Diceros bicornis minor: one gene and its partner. The protein of the gene in region 2 purifies or fractionates together with the protein of the main gene of each other region. This does not show direct contact. Links are inferred from orthologs where the notes say so. Each region holds a gene or a part of one and is shown on either strand. Other genes may lie near its edges.

The links. Proteins that work in one complex are often made in the same cells at the same time.
Region 1: the proteins of ILF2 (region 2) and UPF1 purify together in Homo sapiens (affinity purification with mass spectrometry; 3 studies listed by BioGRID and IntAct, counting the BioPlex papers as one, with this or other methods). This does not show direct contact. The link is inferred for Diceros bicornis minor from reciprocal best matches to the Homo sapiens genes ILF2 and UPF1.

The regions. Positions count from the first base shown.
Region 1 is NC_080759.1:6,386,467-6,394,782, reverse strand, and holds the start of UPF1 (regulator of nonsense transcripts 1), read right to left. Parts: upstream 3,136-8,316; 5' UTR 2,943-3,135; coding exon 2,721-2,942; intron 1-2,720. UniProt on the Homo sapiens protein: RNA-dependent helicase required for nonsense-mediated decay (NMD) of aberrant mRNAs containing premature stop codons and modulates the expression level of normal mRNAs.
Region 2 is NC_080743.1:57,899,207-57,906,630, forward strand, and holds the start of ILF2 (interleukin enhancer-binding factor 2), read right to left. Parts: upstream 3,214-7,424; 5' UTR 3,124-3,213; coding exon 3,119-3,123; intron 2,422-3,118; coding exon 2,362-2,421; intron 2,149-2,361; coding exon 2,106-2,148; intron 1,626-2,105; coding exon 1,521-1,625; intron 865-1,520; coding exon 787-864; intron 443-786; coding exon 340-442; intron 1-339. UniProt on the Homo sapiens protein: Chromatin-interacting protein that forms a stable heterodimer with interleukin enhancer-binding factor 3/ILF3 and plays a role in several biological processes including transcription, innate immunity or cell growth.

The sequences.
Region 1 (8,316 bases), on a different chromosome or scaffold from region 2:
GTTCACCAATGGTCAGAGCAGCACTACTTATAACAGTTCAAAGTGGAAACAACCCAAATGTCTACCAACAGAGGAGTGGATAAACACAATGTGGTCTGTCCATGCTGTGGACTATTATTCTGTCATAAAAAGGAATGGAACAGATACTGCTACACCATGGACAAACCTTGAAGACACGCTCAGTGACAGAAGCCAGACACAAAAGATTACATACTGTATGATTCCATCCATATGAAACGTTCAGAGTAGATAAATCCAGAAAGATTAGTGGTGGCCTGGGGTTGGAGAAGGGAGGATTGACGGGCTGAGGGTTGCAGGGTTTCTTTCTAGGGTAACAAAAATGTCCTAAAATTGATTGTGCTGGTGGTGGCATACCTCTGAATGTATTAAAAGCCACTGAATTGGACACTCGAAACGAGTGCATCATATGGTATGTGAATTCTATCTCAATAAAGCTGTGAAACAAAAGAGACCACACAGCAGTTGACAATTCACAGCCACTCATCCAATAAGACGGAATGAAAAGGCATTCACAATGGGAGGTTTTTTGAGTCTTTCTGGAAGCCCCATCGTATAGCTGGTTATACAGCCAACTCCTGAGGACAAATAAGGAAAATCCTCCCAAATGCTGCAGGCAGCCAATGCCACCAACTGGCACAGGAGATAATTAACTTTTTTCCCCTTTGTGATTCTATTCAGACTTTCCTATGCCCAAATTCAGGGCCTCCTCTTGTGACACAAAGGATATCACTTCCCTTCCCCAAATACAAATCAAAAGTTAGGCTATAGGTGGGTGGATCCTTAGGCTTCATTAAAAGGAAGGACGGACAGACCCTTCTGATGTCATCAGAACTCAAATGAGCTCAACTGCAAGGTTTACCTTCGGTGGAGCGTTTTAATGCTATTATTTTGTACAGTGTTCAGGTGCAGGAAAATAAATTGATTACTTCAACTGAAAGAGAAGGACACGCCTCACAATTAATCGCAAACAGATGGCAAGGAACAAAACTAGAACTCAGAGCTGCCCCAGGTTTGCTGTTTTATATTGGCTGCAGTTAAAAAAAGATTTGCAGTAAAACGACTACCTTTCACAACCCTGAGCTGCTACAGAGCATGGCACACTGTTCAACCAAGAGATCTTTATCCTCAGCCTTCCAGGTATGCTGGCCACAAGTTACAGGCAGCACTATCTGGTCCATTCATACACGAGTCCAGATTTCATGAATGTTGAAAAGTAACAAAAACATAGCTGCTACCTTCATTTCACAGCTGTGGAAACAGAGGGGTCTACAAAGCTTGAAACTACAGGCGTTAGCAGCAGCCTCCAGCGGCTCCTTCATTTCTCCATGCAAACTCCCCTCTCCTACCTCCCTCCACCATATGTAAACAAAACTGAGAAACATACATACTTGTACACCTGTTCTCCCCAATGCCCCACCCACTGGACTTCTATTTTTAAGGAATCTGGGGTTAGAATGAGTCAAATGTTTTCTGCTTGTATTAAGGGCTAAAAGAAAGAAGTGGGTGGTCTACCCACTGGAGTGACTCAACCAACTAGAATGTAAGCCCCCTCCCCCAAGGACAGGATCTGAGCTCATTCCTGCTGAGGATGGGTGGCTCCCCAGCCCTGGCAGTGGGTCCTCAGAGCAAAGGACACCTGTGACAAAGTGAGCCTCTTAGCTCCTCCCTGGTTGAGAATTCAGGAAAATAAACCTGAGGGAGGTGCTGGGCACAGGGAAATTTGGTAAACGTAATCTGAGATCCAGAGAATGACCGCAACATTCCCTGGGACCCCAGCCAGACCCCTCTCCCATCCTGGGGCAGGGACCCAGGTCACCGAAATGTACGCCTGATACTTCTCATAACCAAACTCAAATTTAAAACACCCAAGTAGGCTTTGCCAAACGTCCATATCATTAAAAACAAAAGTTTCTGACGTGGCAGACCCATTTATGTAAAACTCACTATCACTGCCCCATTGGAGGAACAAACTCAAACCCAACTTTTCCAAGGCAGGGCTGTGCAGTTACGTAACAGGTCAGTTTCAGCAACAGGCAATGCAAGAAGGAAAAAAAAAACCCAACCTGCCTCTTCAATAATCTTAATAGCCAACGAGCGTGGGGCTCTCGACTGGAGGCAGAAATTCCATTTCTGTTCCAGGAGCATCTACCGTCACCCTCGCCAGCGTCCCTGGGCCCGGGGAAATTTGAACCCGCTGCTCAGTGGGCATGACTGGGGGGGGTGCCCAGATTGCTGCGACCACAGGCAGCTAGTAGGGCAGGGCGGCGGGACTGGCCAGAGGAGGGACCGGGGCAGATACCCCCGGAGCCGCCTTGAGCAGGGCACGGACCCAGGTGGAGGGGTACTGGGGGGCAGATCACCCCCGACCTGGCCGGAATCAGTGCTAGGGCAGGTCACCCCGGACAGGCCCGGAAGAGGACTTGGGGCAGGTCACCTAAGACCCAGCCTGAACTAGATCCTGAACAGATGACCCGGACGCAACCAGAGCGGGACTCAGAGCGGGAACCGGGGCAGGTTCCTCCCGGCAAGTCATGAGTGAGATCCCGAGCCAGGTTACCCGGCAAGTCCTGAGTGAGATCCCGAGCCAGGTTACTCCGGACCCGGCCGGAGAGCGGGACCCGGGGCGCATTAGCCCGGCAAGTCTCCGGCCGCCGAGAAGAAGCCCGTCCGGGCTTCCGGCGCCGCCATGTGCCGCTCACCTGCGCGTCGAGCTGTCCGGCCGCGGCGCCCGCGCCCACGCCGACCGGGCCCCCTGCGCCGCCGCCGCCGGGGCCGCCGGGGGGCGTCTGCGTCTGGCTGGGGATGGTGAAGTCGGTGAACTCGAACTCCGAGCCCTGCGTGTCGGCGCCAAGCAGCTCGGCCTCCTCGGTGTCCAGGAAGGTGAGCGTCTGCGAGCTGGGCCCGTACGCCTCCACGCTCATGGTGCCGCCGCGTACGGCCCTCAGGCCGGTTCCGCGCCGCACTCGAGCCCGCCGCCGCGCTGAGGCCTAGGCCGCAGGCCTCGGACTTCGGACCGCCGCCGCCGCCGCCGCGCTCCCGCCCCTGGACCGGACCAAAACGCCTGCCGCGGCGCAAGCCGGGCAGAGAGTCACGCGCGCCGAGCCGCCCCCGCCGCCGCCGAGCCCCTGAGCGCCGCCGCTCCTCTCGGAGCCGCCCGCCGCTCGCAGCTCCCAGCAGGAACCGCCGCCGTGCGCGTGCGCGAGCCCGACGCCGGCGCAGGCGCGCGCGCTCCTCGCGGCGCCTCCAACCGCGCCCGGACGCCCGGAGCCGAGCGGGCCGACAGGAGGCGCAGCGCGCGCGCGCGGGAGGCGGGGCTTCCAACCGCCGCCGCGGCGGCCGCACGAGGCCGTGGTCCCGCCCAAACCGCAGTTCAGTGGCGCCCGGGCGGCGGGCGGTGAGGGTGTGGTGGTTGTGGCCGTACCGACTGCGACAGTGCCTCGGGTTAATTGAGCAGTAGCTGAATGCATTACGTAGGTGGTCTTGGAACACCCAATTGGAGAGGCTTGGCGGCACGGCGCACCCTCATGTCTCGGAGAAGCTTCCTGGGCCTCGGTTTCCCCATCCGTAAAATGGGGGTGCCTGACCCATAGTAGATGCTCACTGTGCACTGGTTGAATAAACAAATGGGGGCAGTCCTTAGCACGGAGCCTGGCACGCATAAATGGTGGTTGCTGCTGCTTCGGACAATAATATTATTCAAGAGGCAGTATATGATAAAGCGATTGGGAGCGCTTGCGCTGGGGTGAAATCCAGATCTGGCCACCTACTGGCTGTGTGACTGTACAAGTGAATTCGCCTTTCTGAGCCTAAGGTTTCCTCCACTAGAAAAGGATGATAATAACCATCAAGATGGGATGAAGAATAAGTGAACTACTATTCACTCCCTTAATTGTTAAGTAAGGAAAGTTCCACATGGACAGGGGCTGGCTTTGTTCATCACATGGTCTTCCCCTTGGGAAGAGTAATGCCCACACACAGTAGGTGCTCAGTAAAAGGTTGTCCAAGTTCAGCTACTGGTTTATGAGCCTTAATCTCCTAACTTCCAGCCTCTAGCTTCCTTTTTTGTAAAGTGTCTTGGAGAACTCGCCACTTCCTTTCTGTCCCAAGTTTCTGAGGCTCTCTAAATACTTGAAGTCAGCTCACAGGGCTCCTGGTTTGCACAGCTGCACTAATAGTTCCTGATCCTGCCTGGTTCCTCATTTTCCAATATTCCTGTCACGACGTATAAGAGGTTCCTTTTTCCTTCTTCACATCTTTTCTGGTCTCCTACTATGCACTAAAATGTGAGAATATAGAAAATGAATAATTAGGTGCTCCCTCTCCAGGAAGACACAGTTGAAGAGGGAATCCCAACAAGCCAATGGATGGTTTTGATAAAAAACAAAGCCCTCTTTGGAAAATATCCAATTGAACTGGTAAAAGCATATAAGACCAATGTGGTAACACTATCAGTTTTAAATGCAGGCCCCTCTGCACCTTTGATCTAGCAATTCCACTTCTAAGGCTCTCCTCTTTTTTTTTTTTTGCTGAGGGAGATTGGCCCTGAGCTAACATCTGTGCCTATCTTCCTCTACTTTTTTTTTTTTTTTTGGTAAGGAAGATCAGCCCTGAGCTAACATCCATGCCAATCCTCCTCTTTTTGCTGAGAAAGATTGGCCCTGAGCTAACATCCTTGCCCATCTTCCTCCACTTTATGTGGGACGCTGCCACAGCATGGCCTGACAGGTGGTGCGTCGGTGCACGCCTGGGATCCAAGCCCGGGCCGCCAGCAGCAGAATGTGCTCACTTAATGGCTACGCCACGGGGCCGGCCCCTACTTTTTTTTTTTAATATGAGAAGCCACCACAGTACAGCTTGACAAGCGGTGCAATGGTGCGCACCTGGGATCTGAACCTGCGAACCCTGGGCCACCAAAGCTGAGTGGGCACACTTAACCGCTTGTACCACCAAGCCGGCCCCTAAGGCTCTCCTCTTATTTCCTACATATACTCACATTTGCAAAATGACATTTTGGATGGCACACTAAAGCATGTCTAATACAAAAGAAGTCCGTAATGGAATAATTGAAAAAAAAAGATATAAACATATAGAAAACAAATAACAAGATGGCAGAAATAAGTCCTTATCAGTAATTACATTAAATGGAAATGGATGAAACTCTTCACTTAAAAGGCAGAGATTGTCAGATAAATTTTTTTAAAAAACACAATTTAACTATATGCTGTCTACAAGAGAGTCACTTTAGATTCAAAGACACAAATAGATTGAAAGTAAATGGAGGGGGCCGGCCCCATGGCTTAGCGGTTAAGTGCGCACGCTCCGCTGCTGGCAGCCTGGGTTCGGATCCCAGGCGCGCACCGACGCACTGCTTCTCTGGCCATGCTGAGCCTGAGTCCCACATACAGCAACTAGAAGGATGTGCAACCATGACTTACAACTATCTACTGGGGCTTTGGGGGAAAAATAAATAAATAAAAATTAAAAAAAAAAAAAAGAAAGTAAATGGAGGGGCTGGCCCGGTGGCATAGCGGTTAAGTGCGTGCACTCCACTGCAGCAGCCCGGGATTCAGATTCCGGGTGCGCACCGACGCCATGCCATGGAGGAAGATGGGCATGGATGTTAGCCCAGGGCCAATCTTCCTCAGCAAAAAGAGGAGGATTGGCATGGATGTTAGCTCAGGGCTGATCTTCCTTACCAAACAAAAAAAAAAATAGAGGAAGATAGGCACAGATGTTAGCTCAGGGCTGATCTTCCTTACCAAAAAAAAAAAAAAAAAAGAAAGTAAAGGGATAGAAAAAGATATTCCATGCAAACAGTAAAGAAAAGAGAGCTGGATTGCCATATTAATATCAGATAAAATAGATGTTAAGACCAAAATTGTTACTTGAGACAAAAAACATTATATAATGATAAAAGTTCTAATCTATCATGAAGATATAACAGTTATAAACATATATGCACCTAACAACAAAGCCCCAAAATACATGAAGCAAAATGTGATAAAATTGAAAGGATAAATAAACAATTCAACAGTAACTATGGTTTACTATAGAGCAATGGAGTCAAAGGCTCAGGGAGATTGGAATGTTAGAGTGGATTTGTCATTTAAGACTCACCCTCAGAGGGTCTAGAGGATACACCTTTCACCATGATTGTGAGAAATAAATTTGTGAGGGTAGCCCCAGCATCCTTGAAGAGCTCTGTGATCATTCTTCTTTGTAGGCCAGAATTTATAGTGCTACCTGCTGCCACTTATTTGGGAAACCTAAATGCAAGAGAGTAATTGGATCCCAGAGTGTCAGGGGCCAAGCGGTGGCACTCAACTACCAAAGGCAAGGTGGGTGTGGTCACCATAATGGACATTAGAGTCGAAGCAGCAATCAGAAAAGTCTGACTCACAGAGACTTTCTGCGTTGACTAGTTGATCATGGTGTTCCTAGAAGTGAAATAGATGGGAAGCCTACTAAATTCTTACTTGCTCTATACGAGCCGAAAAGTTCTAGGTCAAGTGAGCAGAAGTATAACTTGAATCATAAAAACAGAGAGTCACAGCCCCCTCAATCAATTCTCAAAGTTGAGGCAGTTCACAGACCCAGAACCCTTTGAATGAAGGGGAGGCTGGGTCCCCTCAAGGAAGGACCCTGGTGCACTACTGGAATTTTATGCTGTAAATCTTTCTCCCAGACTTTCCCTGTGGGGCCTACAGCCCTTTACCAGGGTGACTATGCATTGGGGAAAGGGAAATAATCAGACCTTTCAGGGACTAATGGACACTGGCTCTGAACTGACACTAATTCCAGGAGACCCAAAATGTCTCTGTGGTCCACCAGTCAGAGTAGGGCCTTATGGAAGTCAGATGACACTGGAGTTTTAGCTCAGATGCATCTCATGCTGGGTCCAGTGGGTCCCTGACCTCCCCCATCCTGTGGTTATTTCCCAAGTTCTGGAAGGAATAATTGGAATAGATACACCTAGCAGTTGGCAGAATCCTCACATTGGTTCCCTGACTTGTGGAGTGAGGGCTATTATGGTGGGAAAGGCCAAGTGAAAGCCACTAGAGCTTCCTCTACCTAAGAAAATGGTAAACCAAAAGCGATGCTGCGTTCTCAGGGTTCCACAGGTGAGTGCTGCCATCAATGACTTGAAAGATGCAGGGGTGGCAATTCCTACCACATCCTCATTCAGCTCCCCTGTTTGGCCTGTGCAGAGGACAGATGGGTCGTGGAGAATGAGAGTAGATTATCATAAGCTTAGCCAGGTGGTGATTCCAGTTGCAGCAGCTATACCAGACATGGTTTCATTGCCCAGCAAATGAACCCACCCCCTGGTACCTGCCATGCAGCTACTGAGAAGCAAATGCCTTTTTCTCCACCCCTGTCCATAAGGCCCACCAGAAGCAGTTTGCTTTCAGCTGGCAAGGCCAGCGACACGTGTTCACTGTCCTACCCCAGGGGCATATCAACTCTCCAGCCTATGGCATAATTTAGTCCACAGGGACCTTGATCACCTTCCCCTTCACAAGATAATCACGTTGGTCCATGATATTGATGACATTATGCTGATTGGACCTAGTGAGCAAGAAGTAGCAACCAGGGGCCAGCCCGGTGGCGCAAGCGGTTGGGTGCGCGTGCTCCGCTGCGGCGGCCCGGGATTCGCAGGTTCGGATCCCAGGTGCACACCGACACACTGCTTGGCAAGCCATGCTGTGGCAGCGTCCCATGTTAAGTAGAGGAAGACGGGCACAGGTGTTAGCCCAGGGTCAGTCTTCCTCAGCAAAAAAAGAGGAGGATTGGCAGATGTTAGCACAGGGCTGATCTCCTCACAAAAAAAAAAAAAAAAGAAGTAGCAATCACTTGAGAGTTATTGGTGACACATTTGCTTGTCAAAGGTTGGAAAATAAATCTGGCTAAAATTCAGAGGCCTTCTACTTCAGGGAAATTTCTAGGGGTCTAGTGGTGTGGGGCATGTTGGGATATCCCTTCTGAGGTGAAGGATAAGCTGTTGGATCTAGCCCCTCCTACAACCAAAAAAGAGGTACAATGCCTAGTGGGCCTCTTTGGATTTTGGAGGCAACATATTCCTTATTCTGGCCCATTTACTGAGTGACCCGAAAAACTGCTCGTTTTGAGTGGGGCCCAGAACAAGAGAAGGCTCTGCAACAGATCCCGACCGCTGTGCAAGCTGCTCGGCCACTTGGGCCACATGGCCCAGCACGGCCGATGGTGCCTGAATATCCGTGGCAGAGAGAGATGCTGATGGAGCCTTTGGCAGTTCCCAGAGGGGACTCTCAGCAC
Region 2 (7,424 bases):
GTGGACGCTAATGCCTGGACAGAAAAATTGGCTCAGGAAACAGGACAGGACACCTCCTCCTATACCCACCCCCTTTTCCACAGTAGGGCTTCTAACCAGTGGCACTAATGCCATTGGGGGCTGGATAATTCTTTTGGGGGGCTGGGGGATAGGATCTGTCCTGTGCACTGGAGGATGCTTAGCAGCATCCCTGGCCTCTACCCACTTGATGCCAGTAGCCCAAAAATGTCTCCAGACACTGCCAAATGTCCCCTGGGGTGCAAAAGAGAAGAAATTTGGGCTTTAAACATCCCTACCCAATTGCTATGTTCTCCCGTGGGCAGAAAGAGGTACACTCACATGTTGGCAGAATCTTTAGGATTACCACTAGGTCGGCTACATTGTGTCCTGTAGTCATTGTTCCTTTTTTATATGATCCGACCTGTCGGACTTCTTCAATTTGCTATTGGAAAAGGGATTTCAGGAAAAAAAATTAGAAGTGAAAAGACTGCCTCTCAGAACTCAATTACAACATAGCTTCCTGTGACCCAGATTTGAAGTAGCAGAGGTCAAGTGATATCCCCCAAACAACCAAACGAAAAGCCTGATACATCACGGCTAGCTGATAACAACGATATAAGTCTTGTCCCCATAATCAGTACTATAAAGGAATTCCAGTGTAGTTTCCCATTTTCGGCTTGGCTTTGGATAATAGGCAACCAAAGAATTAAGAGACAGGAGCCAAGGAAACTTCCACACTAGCAAGGCTGCCCTTTCCTAGGACTAAATAAATCATCAAAAACTCACCACTTCAAATGTCCCTGGAGCCACAATCAAATTATCAATCACATTGTTTATTTTTGTCACCAAAGAAAGGATAGAAGCCTGAAAAACAGCAGGAAACAAAAATAACCTAAGTTGAAAAATTACGAGCAACTTCTCAGAATTTGAATATTTTCCCCTAATCCCTTCCATACAAGTGGAATCAATACTGATATAGGGCTTTGAAAACACTCTGACCCTTCTGGCCTTGAATATGTCATAAAAGAACAAGTTTTTGATCCCAAAGATAGATTCCTCAATAAAAATATGAATGCATATGTAACCTGTTTATATATTCATCTGGCAGTCTCCCTCCACTCACAATGAGAAATAAGAACAATTCAACCCACCGTGGAGTTTAGGCTCTGATAACAGTAACCTTAACCTCACCAGCAGTTATTCACTTCTCTAGCTTTCTTTCTTTTTTTTTGGTGAGGAAGATGATTAGCCCTGAGCTAACATCTGTTGCCACTCCTCCTCTTTTTGCTGAGGAAGATCAGCCCTGGGCTAAGATCAGCATCCATCCTCCTCTACTTTATATGTAGGACGCCTGCCATAGCATGGCTTGATAAGTGGTGCATAGGTCAGGGCCGGGGATCCAAACCTGCAAACCCTGGGCCACTGAAGTGGAGCACACAAACCTAACCACTACACCACCATGCTGGCCCCTTCCCTAGCATTCTTAGTGAAATCTCAGGAAGGAAGCCAAAAGAATATACCTGTTCAGCAGAATTAGGAGCAAGGTCCTGATTCCTCTTCAGCAAGGCTTCGCTGAAGGAAGTTTCATCAGGCGCTGGCTTGACCCGGGGGAAGGCCATTTCACACTAAATCAGAAGTAAATAATTATATACTATTTACCAAAAATAATATACAGGGAAGATTGTTTTTTTCGGTTGCCGCAACAGAAAAAACTGAAAATAGAAAATTCTACAACACCTGTCTACTCAAGATGTTCAAACAAGGATGTAAGCTACAAGGAACAGCCATAATTTAAGCTCTCACTACCTTTATATTAACAGATAAGCCAGAGATACAATTAATTATTCAGAACAAAGATTACAATCACCTTACTGCCAACAGTAGCCAAGGAATTATCTTCCCCACCCTCCTTACACTGTGTTTGTACTTAAAGCAACACACAGCTGACTCAAAACCCCAGCTCCACTCACTAATCCCTTTTCCTACTCCAGCCACTATTCAAGACTTCATTGACAGGGAGATGCTGGGCTCCAGGAAACTACAAGTGAAACAGTGTCCAGGCTCCATTTCTATGTCTATAGGTGAACAGGGGCCAAGATACTCACCAAATAGAAATCAAATGGGATATGTGGCACAAAGGGCCTGAACCTAAAACAAGAAAAATCCAAATTATTCACCACAGAAATCAAGTGACTTAGCCTAATGGGGCCAAACTCATTTAGCAGGAGAGGATGAAAAGAAACGTTTCTAAACCACAGCTGGATCTCACAAAAGCAGGTAGCATCAGTCCACTCCAAACTCCTATTTAGATGACTGAAGTGTAAATTAAGCAGTGCAGAGATGCTAAAAACTGACACTCACCCTCCTCCTGGGCCGCCTCTGGAACCAAAGCGACCACCACGACCTCGGCCTCTGTCACCCCTAGAAATGCATAAATAGATTTTAACCTGTTTTGACCTGTTGAAGGCATCTCCACCATACCGGTCAAATCACTTCAAGTTAGCCTGCCTCCACCGCTCCGAACTTCCCTTTGGAAGCCAAGAGACCCCATTCCCACCTACGCTTCTCCCCATTCCAAATGCTCAGCCTCACCCCCAGGACCTCCTCATTCTGGATAATTTAGTCACAACTCCACCCAAACATAATGACGGGCTCAAACACTGAACCCCTACAAGAAATACCCCATGACCCCTGGAAGACGCCAATCCTAATACCTGAGGCACTAAAGTGAGTGCTCATTTATTATTAACGTAGTAAAACATTTAGCGGGCATTTCCTATGTCAAGCACTTGGCATAGAATGAATGAGGCACGTTCCAGACTTCCCAGCCTAGATGGGGGTGCTTCTCCTGGGACCCGAGGACACCCCTCATCCAGACCCCTCCAAAACCGAGGGGCCGACCGCCTGCCCGCTCCTGCGCCCCACCCCCAGCCCGGGCCCAAGTTTCCCCGCCCCCGCAGCCTCCGACCTCCCCTACTCTCCCAGACGAGGCCTTTTCGGTGTTAGGGCAGCCCCCAGACACGTGGCCCTTTCAGCTCCTCCGACTCCTTTCGGCCCACCTTCCCAAAGTTTTCGGTCGAATACCCGACACCATTCTACAGCACCCCAGTGCCTTTACCTCATGGCGCCCTAAAACCCGAACAATGGAGGCCACACCAACCGCCCCTTTCCTCGGAGGAAGAGATAAATGGAGAGGCGGCTTGCCGGCGTGTCCCAACAAACTCCGGCGCGATTGGCTCCCGCCTTACCCCGCCGCTTATGCCTATTGGTCTACAATGGCAAACTGGCTTATGAACCAATACAAAATGCTGACTGTGTCAGGATCTAGCCAATAAGAACAGACTTAACAAAAATGAGCATTTTTATTCAACCAGACACTAGACGGCGCTGTGTAAAGAAGGCAGGACGGCTAACGCGCTAAAAACTTTCTATAGAAACCATGAGGCACCTTCTCTCCAGCTAGCAGAGTGGCGCAGCGGAAGCGTGCTGGGCCCATAACCCAGAGGTCGATGGATCGAAACCATCCTCTGCTACAGGCGTGTGCTTTTTCTTCTCAACTTAAATTTTCTCAGTAAAGGTAACTGCCCTCCTTTTACTTTTTCCTGCGTCAAAAATGCAGCGTTTAGAAGCTGTTTTTGCCATCAGCATGTGAAATAGGGGAATAGGAAGAGACTTTAAACAACAATAAACACTACGTCTGGGTGTAGTTCACAGAAGGCTAGAAACTCGAGGCAGGAGAAGCGGATTTGAGAAAAGGAGGAAGTATATTGATGGAATCAGAGGGGGAAAACACTGATGGCGACGGACTAGAAGGGAAACCGAGGCAGCCTTTAGAAAGAGAGCTCAGAAAACGAGAGCAAAAGAAGTGGCAAGGAAAGAAGGACGCGGCCCACCCATTATTGCCTGATTTCCCCCCAATTTCTCTTCTTTCCTCACTCCACAAACTCTCTGGCGTATTTTACCCTTATATGAGGTTTCACCAGCCACGTATACGGATATACTGTATTTGCATTTAAATCAATCATATTACTATGTGCTTTTCGTTTCTTCTGTAATCCTTCTTCTCCTTCTAGCCTTCTTTTGCATTGGTTAATATTTATTATTCCTTCCCTGCCTCTGTTAATTGGAAGTTACGCACTTTTTCTACTCTTCTAGAGGTTACTCTAAAAATTACAACATGCGTCCTTGACTTAGCAAAATCTAATTTTTGGTAACATTTTTACCCTCCTGGTGAAAATGCAGAAATAATTTAATTCCATTTACCACCGTCACTCCCTCCAGAATTATATACTATTGCTGTTGTGTAATTCTTTTAAGTGTTTTATTGATGTATAATTTACTACAGCAAAATGCACAGATTTTAAGTCTACAGCTCCATAAATTTTGAGTAATGTATTCTGTCCGTGTAACCACCACCCAGATTAAGATAAAGAACATTTTTATCACCTCAGAAACTTAGCTCATACCCCTTTGCCCTGCCCCCAAGGCAATCACTATTCTAGTTTCCATTATCATAGATTAGTTTTGTCTGTTCTTGAATGTCACACAAATGGACTCACACTGTATGTACTCTTTTTTATCTAGCTTCTTTTGCTTGACACGTTTCAAGATTCTCACATGTTCTTGCATTCATCAGCAATTTGTTCCTTTTTATTTATGAGTAGCATTCTATTGCATAAATATACCACAGTTTGTTTATCCATTCTCCTGTTGATGAACTCAGGACCTCCAACTGGCTGAGACACACAGAAAACATTTGGGTTGTTTCCAGTTTGGTGCCATTATGAATAAACCTGCTAGGAACAGTTTTGTACAAGATTCTTGTGGTGAGATGCACTCATTTCTCTTGGGTAGGCGTAGCTGTATACGTGTACAGAATTTAAATTCTGTAAATACTTTCAATCTCACAAGACATTAATGCTTATTACCTAAATTAGTGGTCATTTAGATTTACAATCTGTGTGTGTGTGTGTGTGTGTGTGTGTGTGAGGAAGATCAGCCCTGAGCTAACATCCATGCCAATCCTGCTCTTTTTGCTGAGGAAGACCAGCCCTGAGCTAACATCCGGCCCTTCTTCCTCTACTTTATATGGGACGCCTCCACAGCATGGCTCGACAAGCGTGCATCCCTGCGCACCAGGGATCCAAACCCAGCCGCCAGCAGCAGAGTGCGCACACTTAACCACTACCCCACGGGGCGGGCCCCCTACATTCACAATTTTTAATGTTCTTTATTTCTTCCTGCACGTCCAACCATTCATCTGGAATAATATTCCTTCTGCTTGAGAATTCGTGCCCCTCTGCTGGTGGCTAACTTTCTCCATTTCAGTTTGTCTGAATACCTCTTTATTTCACCTTTGTTTTTGAAGGACATTTTCTCCAGATATGGAATTCTAGATTGGAAGTTATTCTCTTTCAGCACGTTTACAATATTATTTCACTTTCTATGGCTTCCATTTTTGCTCTGAAAAAAAAAGTTCTCTAGCAATCTAATGGTTGCTCCTTTGAAGGTAATCAATCCTCTTTTTACTATTTTAAAGATTTCATCTTTGATTTAATTTCCTGTGATTTCACTCTGATGGGTCCAGATATGGATTTTTTTTAAAATCTTACTTGGTTTGTTGAACTTCCTGAATCTGTGGCTTGATGTATTTCATCTATTTTTAAAGTTTCTCAGTTATTGTCTCTTCAAATATTGCTTCTAGTCTTTTATTTTCCTCCTTCCTGGGCTCTAAATAAATGTGTGTCAGACTTTCTCACAGTATCCTCCATGACCCTAACCCTCTCTTTTATGTTTTTCACTCCTTTTTATTCATGTTTCATTCTGGGTAGTGTCTTCTGTCCTTTCTTCCAATTCATTACTTGCTCCTAAGTCAAGTCTAACTTGCTGTTAAACCCATCGATTGGTTCTTAATTTTGGTTTTGAATGTTTTGGGTCCTCATGTTCTATTTACTTCTGATTTACCCTACTCCTAGGTTTCTAGGAGTGCAGCCTTTCAGGATTCTAATGAAAAACAGGAAGGCAGTTTACCAGGTTTTCATCTTTTTTTTTTTTTTTTTGGTGAGGGAGATCAGCCCTGAGCTTACATCCATGCTAATCCTCCTCTTTTTGCTGAGGAAGACCAGCTCTGAGCTAACATCTATTGCCAATCTTCCTCCTTTTTTTCTTCCCCAAAGCCCCAGTAGTTAGTTGTATGTCATAGTTGCACATCCTTCTAGTTGCTGTATGTGGAATGTGGCCTCAGCATGGCCCGAGAAGCAGTGCTTCGGTGCGCGCCCAGACCATACCCGGACCACCAGTAGCGGAGCACGCGCGCCCAACCGCTAAGCCACGGGGCCGGCCCAAACCAGGTTCTCATCTTTGGGGAAGTTTGGATTCCAATTTTTGTCTCATTTGCACCACACAGCCTATTTTCTGCCACCAATTCGGATCAGCAAATGACCCCAGGGTAAAAGCAGTCCTACTGCTGTCTCATCTCTCTGCTTTCCTGTCCTTTCATGCTCTCACACCAATAATTTCTCAGTCTTATTAGTTCTTTGATTTTTTAAAGTATTTCATCCAACATTTTTAGATGTCTTCAGCTTGAGGATTGGACAAATTATTTAGTCCACCATTGTTGAAAGAGGAGCTCAACTACTAAATTCGATTTCTAGTCTAGTTTCTCCTGAGCTCCAACTCCACTAATCCAATGGCCTATTGGACACCTCCACTTGGGTATCTACAGGTGCCTCAAACCATCTAAACTAAAATTATCATCCCCCCAAAATTTGCTTCTTCAGCTTCTCAACCAATGGGTCAATGTCACCTAGACTTCAGTTACTTGTATACTGTCTCTCTTCCTGAAGTCCAAATGATTTTACTTCCAAAACATCTCCCTATAGTCAACAATACTGTACTATGCATTAAAAAATTTGTTGAGGGTAGATCCCATGTTAAGTGTTCTTAGCACACACACAACATATACACAAAAGGACACAAGGAAACTTCTGGGGGTGATGGATATATTTATTACCTTGATATTGTGGTGATGGTTTCATGGGTATAAGCATATATCCAAATTCATCAAATTGTAGACATTAAATATGTACAGTTTATGGTATATCAATTATACCTCAATAAAACTGTTTTTTAGTCTCCCAATCTCCTATATACATCTATAGCCTCTGGAGCCCCCCTTACAGGACAAAGACATTATGCCTGTCACACAAAAGCTTGCATGATCTGCCCTCTGCTGCACTTCCTTGCCTCTCCTCCTCAATCATTCCTACGTGCACACACCTGACATCCTAGATGGGAGTTGAAAACATAAACTACTGTAGCCAGTAATGCAAGTGAGTGAACAGGGTGGATAGGAACTGTGGTGAACTGGACTCATCTCAAGGAGATAATGGATACTTCCAGCTGATTGTACATGGAGAGATGCA